2 linked regions of the Drosophila melanogaster genome follow. The gene in region 1 interacts genetically with each later gene. Each region holds a gene or a part of one and is shown on either strand. Other genes may lie near its edges.

Region 1 (5,431 bases):
TGACCAGGGCCTACGTTCCGGATAGTGGTCACCGCATGCTGAACGCTGGCATAAGGAACCAACAGGGTGGCGGTGGCAATGGAGGTGGAGGAGGAGGCTACGGGCAAGGAGGCGGCTACGGCCAGGGAATAGGCGGAAACCAAGGACAGAGCTATCAGAACAATAGCCGAAACTATAACTACAACTACAACAATAACTACAATCAGCACCAGGGTGGCGGCTATCAAAACAACTACAATAACCGACAGCAGCAGCAATATGGCCACAATCAGAGATTCAACCAGGACAATTCGAATCAGCAGCAGCGCAACTTTAACAACTATAATGGTCCAAGGAACAACAACTACCAGCAACAAGGCGGCAGCAGGCAACAGAATCAGAATTATAGACGGTTTTAGGTGTATCATACAAACAATATAATATGTAGCGCATAACAAAAGTGTAATCCATATTAATTTACATTATTTTTTAATGAAGAAAATATACTGATTAAGGATTTCCAAACAAACTCATGCCAAGTTCTGAGTTTGTTCTTTAAATGAAATACCCATTGCATTTCTATCAAAGCAGCTTACAGCCAACATCTAGTCTTAGTGCCTCAAAGAAAATAAGTCAAATTACAATAATGATCATTTCTCTTTCCATTGATTGCGTAAAAAAAGCAAACTAGCTGGATAATACAAAAAAATGAGACGATTGTTATTTTCAGATAAGGAAAATGGAACATAATTTGACAGGAAATTGGATAATATCAAAACAATTTCTAGTGGAGTAAACAATTGAATTTAAGAAAAACTTCGCAAACATTTTGTTTTAAATCCGGAGTCATAATAAATCCAGTAGTTTTTATGGAATAGCATTCGCTATATTTAACGAATGGAATGTTATTATTTCGATTTCCATGTAACATAATAAATATTTTAATTTCGAAAACAATACTCATTACAACTATGCGAGAATCTTAAAGTTTACAAGGGGCTTTTCTTAAAACGATTGTGCTTTCTTAACAGGGAAAAGTTCACTGAGCTTGAAAAATATATAGATTATATTTACGAATGCTTCAAAATCCATGAGCTTAAACGAAAGCGAATAGTTAGAAATATGTATCGATTATATGAATACGCTTAAAAGGTAACACAATGTGAGCTTAGTTCACGTTCGATTCGGAAGAGTTTAGCTATCGGTTCGGCATCTGTTGCGAGCTTATCAGATATTGGTGATAACGTTCTTGTTGCGATCGGATATGCTGTCGAACTTGCCATGGCTGGAGAATGGCGTGCGCATGCGTCGCGTGAAGCTGCGAAGGCAACGCTGTCCATCCAGACTGTCCGGATTGTTAGTCACCGCAAGAAGATTGACTAAAATGAGTTGCAGAAACGTTAGAAATTGTAAACATCCAGATAACCAACCACCTTAAAGTTTAAGTTGTTATACAACTATTTATCTTATCTTACCTCGTTGCTCGAGCAGTTTAATCTGTTTTTTGGCCTCTCTCAGCTTGTTCATCAGTATCTCGTTCTTGCGCTTCTCCACGGTCAGCTCCAGGCCGAGCTGCAGCTTGCTCTTGGAGTCAACAGCACTCAGAATTCTGCAAATTAAACGAACATTATATGTATTTAGTGTGAGCACATTTATCTTAAATGCAACTAAATATGATTGTCGCTTATACTGTCGACTCAATTTACTTACGGATGACTGAATATAGACTGCGAAGTGGGCCTCTTGTCGGGATAAGGATGCATCATCTGGGCTATGAGCTCGTTAAAATCCCTGCTCAGGCTCGGCAGAATCGGCACCTTGCCATCTCGCAAGTTGTGCCATTCGGGTCCATTTTTAGGCAGCGGACCACCGCCGGCCGCCTCGAACAGCGTGATGCCCAGGGAAAATATGTCGGCCTTGAAGAGATTCGAATAATCCTCGTGAAGGATCTCCTTGGGCAGGTAACGACAGTCTCCCTCCTCGACGTAGGGTTCCTTAACGGAGGTCACGTGTCCCAGGTCGCCGATCTTGTACGTAACCAGATTCTCTGAATGGCGCAGTTCTTCATAGACGCTGTCCATGCCATCGTCATCTTTGGTCTGCTGCGGCTGCACCTCCACCAGCTTGTGTGCATTGGGATTCATGGTGGAGAATATGTTTTCGGGCTTCAGATCCATGTGCACCAGGTCATTTGAATGAATATAGCGTAGGCCCTCTATCACATGCATGAGAACAATCTTTAGCTCTGCCTCACCCAAACAATGATCTTGGATGCGCGCGTGCAAGCTGCCACCATCGCAGAATTCATTCTGTATCAGCATATGATCGTCCTCCGCCCACGCGGAATAGTATCTAACCACGTTATCGTGCTTGCCCAATACAGCATGGGCCCAGACCTCGTTCAGGGCTCTCTTTCTGCAAGCAAATAGATTGTTAAACGACGCTCGTTGCAATAACTAATGAATACTCACTCGAAAGAACTGCCTGCCACCGGCTTCTTACTCTTTTTAATCGCATATATGCAGCCATCTAGTCGATTGACGCATTGGAACACCACACCGAACTCGCCAACGCCGATTACGTTGACTTGCATGAACTCCCGCTTGAAGCGACTGATGTTCGTGTCGTGCAGGGCCAGCCGCTTGGGTGCCTGCTGGTGGATTTCGCGCATCGAGTCGCCCGCCTCCTCCGTCACATCGTCGTCGCAGGCATCACTGAGCAAATACTTTTGCATAGCATTCACGTTCAGGTTGAGGTTTTCGCGTCCGAATTGCGTGCGACAGCGCTTCTTATTGTGAGCCATGAGGCCTAAAAATAAAAAAAATGATTATTAGATTGCTAATAAGACTAAGCTGGGATGGGTTAAAGTGGAGTGCAAATTAAAGCAACGAACTGGAAATTGATACCTTTATTTAATTAAAATATCAAAAGCGAGAAACGTTTTAAACTTACTATCTGGCGTGAAGGGGTTCACATTTGCCGTGTCCTGGGTGGGCAGTTTGCGGTTGTGCAGTGGCAGAGATCGCGGGCGCTCTGACAGGCGGAAGAGGTCGTCGCTGCGCCTGGAGGCATTCACTGCCGCTGCTGCCGCCGACAGATGGTTGCTGCACTGCGTCGTCGACTTCTGCAGGATGGTCTTTGGAGTGGCCGGTGTGCTAAAGAGTCGCAGGGCCCGCACCTTTTGGCATGGCGGCGACATGGACACGTCCCCGTCGCCGCCTTCTTTGCCTATCTTACTGTCCAGCTGCTGCTCCTCACCGGAGGATAGCTTCGGCCGCTGCTGAAGGGGATGCTGCGGACTCGCTCCCTCGGGCGTGTCCTTGTCAAAGTCATCATCGGCGAAGCGGAGCTTGCGCGGATTGAAGACCTGCGGCGATGGCGAACGCGATCTCAGTTCGACGCTTGAATCGAGTGAGGTGACGCTCATCTCGTGCTCCGACTGGCGGAATGCCATTGTTGCTGTAGCTGTCCAGCTGACCACGTTGAAAGACGATTCTGTTCGTTATTTCTGATTTCAGAACTATTTGTATGGAAGCCGGCGGCAGTAAAGTAAAGGCAATAGTTAAAAAAAATGCAAAACAAAACACAAAACAAAATTTAACTGGAGGAATGCTAGTCTAATAATGTGGCCGTACCCGATGCGCAATAAAATACCAGCTCTGACTGAAAAAATACTAAGTAACTGGAAGTGCAGAGTTACCAAACAAACAAAATACTAAACATCTGGCAAAAATACCAATTTAAATAATGCGCACCTACTTCTAAACTGAGTGACCAGACTTGTTCAAGACCGCATAAAGCCCGCCAAATTCAAATGGAAAACAACTAATTTTGGCATTTAATTTATTGATTGAATATCTGTATTTTAGTGTTCAGCGCATTTGCTACATAATTCAAACACACATCTCAAGAATCCATACATATGTATTTTTTTAATACTTAACTATGACATCAATGTATGAATAATTATTATGCACTGTTGCAATACTTAATTATTACGAATATAGAAACACATCATACAGAGATTGGAGTCAAATAATCAAGTTGTTGTGTTGCATAAATTGAAAATTGTGTAAAATTGACATGAAAATGGTGGCGATGCTTCGTCCTCTGCACATTCGAGTATAATTCCAGGGTAAGCAAAATAAAATCCAAGGCAAATCAATTTACATAGCAATCCTGACTAGATCGTTAATCTGCGGCTGCCGATACATTTCTATATCTTAAATTTCCTTCCGTCAAATGATTTTCCGAAGCGCTCTCCTTTGTTCTGCGTGTGCTTGTATTTGTTGTTGTGTTGGAACATTAGAATACCTAAATATGCAAACTCGAGTTCCACTATAAATTAAAACCCTTAACTAATATGGTTTTGGACAACTAAAAACCTTAGATGGATACTGCATGAAAAAGTATTTGGGAATCTGTCTTGTTACACGTGAGGTTGTTTCTTTTGGGAATGAGGATTAGAGTCCAGTGCGTGGAGAGCCCATCTCGCCGGATTCATCGGGGGGTTGCAGCTCCGGCCCTCATCATCGCATGTCGGGCTCCGTCTGCATCCGTTCGCTGTCGCTAGTCCCTTGAAACGGATCGTGAGGCGGACGAGTCACCACGACGCCTGGGCGGCGATCCACGGCGCACCGCTGGCGACGCCGATCGAGATCGGGAACGCGACCGCGGCGATCCCCTAACCCGGTCATCGTCCTCATCCTCATAGCGCCGTTTTGGCGGCGGCGGTGAATCTACCGCTCCACTGCCGTTGCGCTCGTGGTCGCTGTACCTCGACGCCGATCCGTTCTCGTCCCGTCCGTTCGAGCGGCCGGAGCGACGGCCCACCGAGCCGGCGGAGCGACTGCGGGATCGAGTTCCGGACTTGGAGCGAGTGCGCCTGCGTCGCGATGTGCTCCGAGATCTGCTGAATGAGTTGCTTCTGGAAATGAAATGGGATAAATCGTCGTGATTAGCTATCAGGCTTTTCAAAAAACGTAACAATTTAAGCTACCTTATATATGTATATACTAATATACTAATACATTTAAATATATTATAGTGTGCTATATTATTTGAAACATTGTAAGTATCAAAACTAGCTTTTAGCAGATTAAGTTTTAACAGCTTATTGAATAAAACACAAGACAGTATAATATTCTAGAACCTCTCCCAGTTTTAATTCTGCATTTCACATAAAGATCACATGTATAATATAGCTTGCTCAATGCTTGCCGCCCTTCTTTTTGTAGTGCTTGTGGCCGTGCTTCTTGGAGCCCTTCTCGCCGTGCTCCTTCTTCTCCTCGAAGCTGTCGCCGTACTTGTGCTCCTTCTTGTACTTCTTGTGGTCCTCGTCGTGGTGACCCTTCTTGTAGTGTCCGTGGTGCTTCTTGTGACCCTTCTTTTTGCCGCCCTCGTGCTTTTCGCCCTTCTTGTGCTCGCCGTGCTCCTCGGCATGATGATGGTG
Region 2 (4,614 bases), on another chromosome or scaffold:
AGTAACATTCGCATCGCGTTTACTTGACTTTCGTTTGCTGATATCTTCAACTAGACTCTAATAACAATCATAAATGGGTTTCGCTTTATACACAGAGGTTGGCTTTGCTTAATTTACAGTGCAGAGGCTGCTCCTCCCTTAAGACTAACTTGGGCTTGGGGACCGTAATAAGTTATGAGCATGCTAGCCAGTGCAAGTGGCAGCCACGGGAACACTGGACATGGACACTGGTTTATGGGAACATTTAAAAGTTTCACGAAAGACAATACATTGTGTTAAAATCGTTCGAAAATCTAAAAGAAATGCATTCGCCTATGTGCCTAAACTTAACTTATTAGGTATTACGCGTCCGCGAGACAGGGGACAGGCCTAATCCAGCACCTGGACATTTCAGAGCTCCTGCAAATCCCTTACTTGTAGGACCTCCAAATCTGCCAGGCGCACAGGGCAGCCGAGAGCAAGGATACGCTACGGTGCAAGTATTTGGTTTTTGAGTTGGGCGAGTAGCCCAAAATCACAGGCGAGGAGACATCTGTCAGTGGCAGTTTCTCCAACACGGTGTCATTATTTTCCACCTGAAAAACACAACCAAAGTGAGCTTCTCAATCTTGGATATCTAGAACTTTTCCTTTCATACCTGATATTGACAACATGGATCGTAGTTCCAGGAAACCGTGTACAGTCCTGTGCAAAAAATCGAGAGTGCACAAGCGGGAGCTGCAATGATGGGGCGATCCCGCCACAGCAAGCTGGCCACCAGGGAAACCACTCCAGTGGCCACCGCCGTCTTGTGCAGGCAATTGCCCACCCAAATCCAACGACCTGTGGAGATATGAAATTAATACTGTGCTTTAAAAGGAAGCACTTCCAAGTGCTTACCAGTTTCGTCGCCCAGCCGAGGCGGCTCTATAACGATGAAGTCCAACTTGGCTTCCAGCGCCTTGTCCAGCTCAGCCTCGAATCTTTCATGGGCATTGGAGCTGTCGTAGACCTCGCGGATGACATGGAAAGTGGGCACCTTACTCGTGCTGCACAATTAGAACAACAATACACGAATCAATCATGGTTATCTTGATGTGGAACTCAAGGTTAAGGTCAAGATCAAGCGCTCAGAACAACCGAAGCAGAGAAGCCATTGTGCAGACGAGATAAATGAAGAAGCCGCCTAGTAAATTGCATAACCAGGGCAGGTGCACTTGGGAACTGGGATTTGGCTGCACCCAGGTGGAATGTGTTGCGTAATCCCACTGCATTCACGTAACTAGGCGCCGTATTTACCTTTCTATATTTCTGCTAACCATTTTGCTAATAAATTTGTTGTTTTCTATGTTGTTCATAAACTCAGTGCGGCCGCAGCTGGACCGTTAAAATATACCAGGTACCTAAGGGCATAATACTGCAAATAGCAATCTTCCAAAAAAATACCGCAGTTGGGCGGCACTTTTGAATTATATCGTATTCGCAAATACCATTCTCCTTTAAAGAGCGGCCTATATATAAAGGCTTAATTCCACTATTTAGCAATTTATTTGCTTATTTACCTATATTCATAAAGACAATTAGATTAGATTAAAGTTTTTAAAAATATTTCAGTATTTCTATTGTTCTTCCAACTACTCAACTCTCCCATCTCTATTTACGATAATTGAGGCATTTAAGAGGCAAATCATGTAAAATCTGTATACGATTATAGGAGCTTAACTTAATTGAAATCAATAATTATACTCCCAATAAAGATCAAAAATATAAGATACATGTGTTAAATGAATTAGCCGGCTCTTATTGTCCCAAGCGAAGAAGCCAGGATTTCGCCGGCTGTCCGATATGGTCACACTCGCCCACTCATAAGAAAAGACACCCAAAATTGAAAATGGAAAAGCATCATCGCCTGCCCCTCCCGGAATTGCACGACGACAAACACAGACACAAACAGTGCAATGGGGAGAACAGCAATCGCTTCCGGCCGCCCAAGTACAAGACGCGTGGCTACGTCGCCGTGGACAACAACAATCTGAACCGAAGCCAATCGCTGGGCTCCTGTAGCACCAACAGTTCCCAGATCGCGCACGCGATCTCCTTCCGGGACGCCGGATGTTCGGATTCCAGTACGCTGCCCTCGTCACCAGTCCAGGCCGAGCTGAGCACCCTCTCCCTGTCACACTTCGAGCAGTGCTTCGAAAGGCTGGCCAAACTGGGCGAAGGATCCTTCGGCGAGGTATTCCAGGTGCGCGATCGCTCCGACGGCCAGTTATATGCCGTCAAGATCTCCAAGCAACTGTTCCGCGGCGAACAGTACCGCGCAGAGCGGCTGGAAGAGGTGCGGCGCTACGAGGAGTTCTCCGGCCATGAGAACTGCATCCGGTTCATCCGCGCCTGGGAGCAGTACGACCGACTGTACATGCAAATGGAGCTGTGCCGCGAAAGTCTGGAGCAGTACTTGCTGCGCTGCCAAAGGATACCGGAGGAGCGCATCTGGCACATCCTGCTGGATCTGCTGCGGGGTCTCAAGTCGCTGCACGACCGGAATCTCATCCATCTGGACATTAAACTGGACAACGTTCTGATCGGCGAGGACGACGAGACGTGCAAGCTGGCAGACTTTGGACTGGTCATCGATGTGGACAGGGCCAACAGCCATCACGCCACGGAGGGAGATTCGAGGTATATGGCTCCAGAGATCCTGCAGGGTCACTTCTCCAAGGCTGCGGACATCTTCAGTCTGGGCATTGCCATGCTAGAGCTGGCATGCTACATGGATCTTCCTTCCAACGGCCCACTGTGGCACGAACTGAGGCACGGCATTCTGCCCGAGGAGTTCATAAACAGTGAGTTGCGAACTAGCTGCCTACTTAAATGGCAGGTTGCTAAAGCCTTTCTCTTCGCACAGAAATATCACTGGAGCTGCAGTCGGTAATTAAGTCCATGATGAAGCCCGATCCTGCGCAGAGGCCGACGGCCGAGCAGCTACTCTCACATCCCAAGCTGCAGTACCTGCAAAAGAAGCGCAAGTCGCTGATGAACTTCAGCATGCTGGTAAGCATTCCCAAGCACATCTTTGAGAATCAATCTTAACCCTTGACAACTTGCAGTCGCGTAGTTTTAGGCGATCTCGCCGCGCCGTTTGGGGAAGAATGTGCAATTGGAAAACAGCCGCCTTTCGTTACCTTCTATACTTCCTGGAGGTCCTGCATCTATGCAAGCCCATAACGGCCTCACAGCCCAATATTAACATAGTGCCCTCCTCGCCTTCGTCAAAGGGAGTGCCTCTGGTGCCTCAGGTGGAGTTCCAGCTGGTAGGATCCACACCCATTGCCAATCGTGACTGCTATGCCTCCGACTTCCTTTCCGGCGAGGACCCGCTGGACCTCTCCAATCAGGGTAGCCCCAACGTAATAAATTCCACGCCATTGAACACAAACCAAGGCAAATCCCGTCTGGATTTGCTAAAGAATAAGTAAGTACCCTTAATCGATTAGCTCATGGACTAGCGCACATAACCCATCCGCTTTCAGTGTTGATTCAATGGGCAGGTACGTTCATGTACACGATTTCGAGAGTCCGTGTTCCGCCCTATCTTCCGCCAAGGTCCTGGACACCTCATCGTTCCGACGCAAAAAGCTCTTCGTCCTGGAATATGACGACGAGTGAGTGAGTACGGTGCCAGCGAGCAACGTAAACCGAATGAATTTATGATAAACCCAATATATATCAGTTACGAAACGAATACCAGATACATATGGCAACAGAATATATCGTTAATTGTATTTTGATTAGTTCTAGACCGTAGTGTTGTACGAAGTTCCCTAGATATAGTCTTACGATTGTGTAATGTTAATGCTTCTTTAGAAGAACTTGTTGAACTTGAACATATAATCATGTGATATATATACGAAAAGCGATTTGAAAAGTTTAAAAATAAAAAACTTATTGAAATTGAAACCTGCACTGAATGCCATCTATGACATATGATAACAACAAATTAAAGGTAAAAACCAAGAAACGTATAACTATAAAAATTTTTTTTAAAACATTTTTGAATTCTAACGTACCTTTCGTTTCGGGGAAAAGTATTTTGCCCATCTGGTAACACTGGCCGCTCGCACATGTTGAAAACGTAAACAAAAACGAGTAGCACAATTTTTGAAAATGACCAGGAAAAAGGCTCCTAAGAAAAAAACAGAGGTTGTATTCGACAACAAGAAACGCATGTAAGTAAGGAGACACAGAATCCCCGGAGGATACTAATGCCCACATCCCAATCCCGCAGAGAGTTTCTCAGTGGCTTCCGGAAAAGAAAGAATGAGCGACGATCGCGTGCAAAGGCGGATCTGGAAAGAAACCTTAAGAACGAGCGCAAGCGCATACGGCAGGAGGTAAAGGATGGCTTTAACCACCTGAAGAAATCCTTCGAACCGCTGCGCGAGCTCACCGAGGAGGACAAGGCCGAGGAGGCGGAGCAGCAGCAGGAGGAGACCTACGAAGATGATGAAGTGCAGGTGAAGATCGTGGAGCTGACCACCAACGATCTGGCCGCCAAGCGCAATATGTTGGGTGCCAACACGGCAGAGGAAAGCGAACCGGAGGAGCAGGCTGACCAGAGCGAGGAGGACGAAG

What was found.
Region 2: of Wee1 (region 1) and Myt1, changing one suppresses a phenotype caused by changing the other (phenotypic suppression), as found in Drosophila melanogaster (one study listed by BioGRID).

What each region holds. Positions count from the first base shown.
Region 1 is NT_033779.5:6,910,495-6,915,925, forward strand, and holds Wee1 (Wee1 kinase), read right to left. Parts: upstream 3,645-5,431; 5' UTR 3,434-3,644; coding exon 2,932-3,433; intron 2,788-2,931; coding exon 2,451-2,787; intron 2,395-2,450; coding exon 1,690-2,394; intron 1,589-1,689; coding exon 1,455-1,588; intron 1,359-1,454; coding exon 1,207-1,358; 3' UTR 596-1,206; downstream 1-595. Other genes in the region: Rat1 5'-3' exoribonuclease, read left to right, coding at 1-398; x16 splicing factor, read right to left, coding at 4,549-4,906; CG32829 (uncharacterized protein), read right to left, coding at 5,189-5,431. UniProt on the Drosophila melanogaster protein: Acts as a negative regulator of entry into mitosis (G2 to M transition). This kinase specifically phosphorylates and inactivates cyclin B1-complexed CDC2.
Region 2 is NT_037436.4:5,776,798-5,781,411, reverse strand, and holds Myt1 (Myt1), read left to right. Parts: upstream 1-1,820; 5' UTR 1,821-1,870; coding exon 1,871-2,825; intron 2,826-2,887; coding exon 2,888-3,033; intron 3,034-3,089; coding exon 3,090-3,454; intron 3,455-3,512; coding exon 3,513-3,648; 3' UTR 3,649-3,936; downstream 3,937-4,614. Other genes in the region: Pmi, read right to left, coding at 415-575, 638-822, 880-1,028, 1,279-1,301; vito (viriato), read left to right, coding at 4,147-4,208, 4,268-4,614. UniProt on the Drosophila melanogaster protein: Acts as a negative regulator of entry into mitosis (G2 to M transition) by phosphorylation of Cdk1 specifically when Cdk1 is complexed to cyclins. Mediates phosphorylation of Cdk1 predominantly on 'Thr-14'. Also involved in Golgi fragmentation.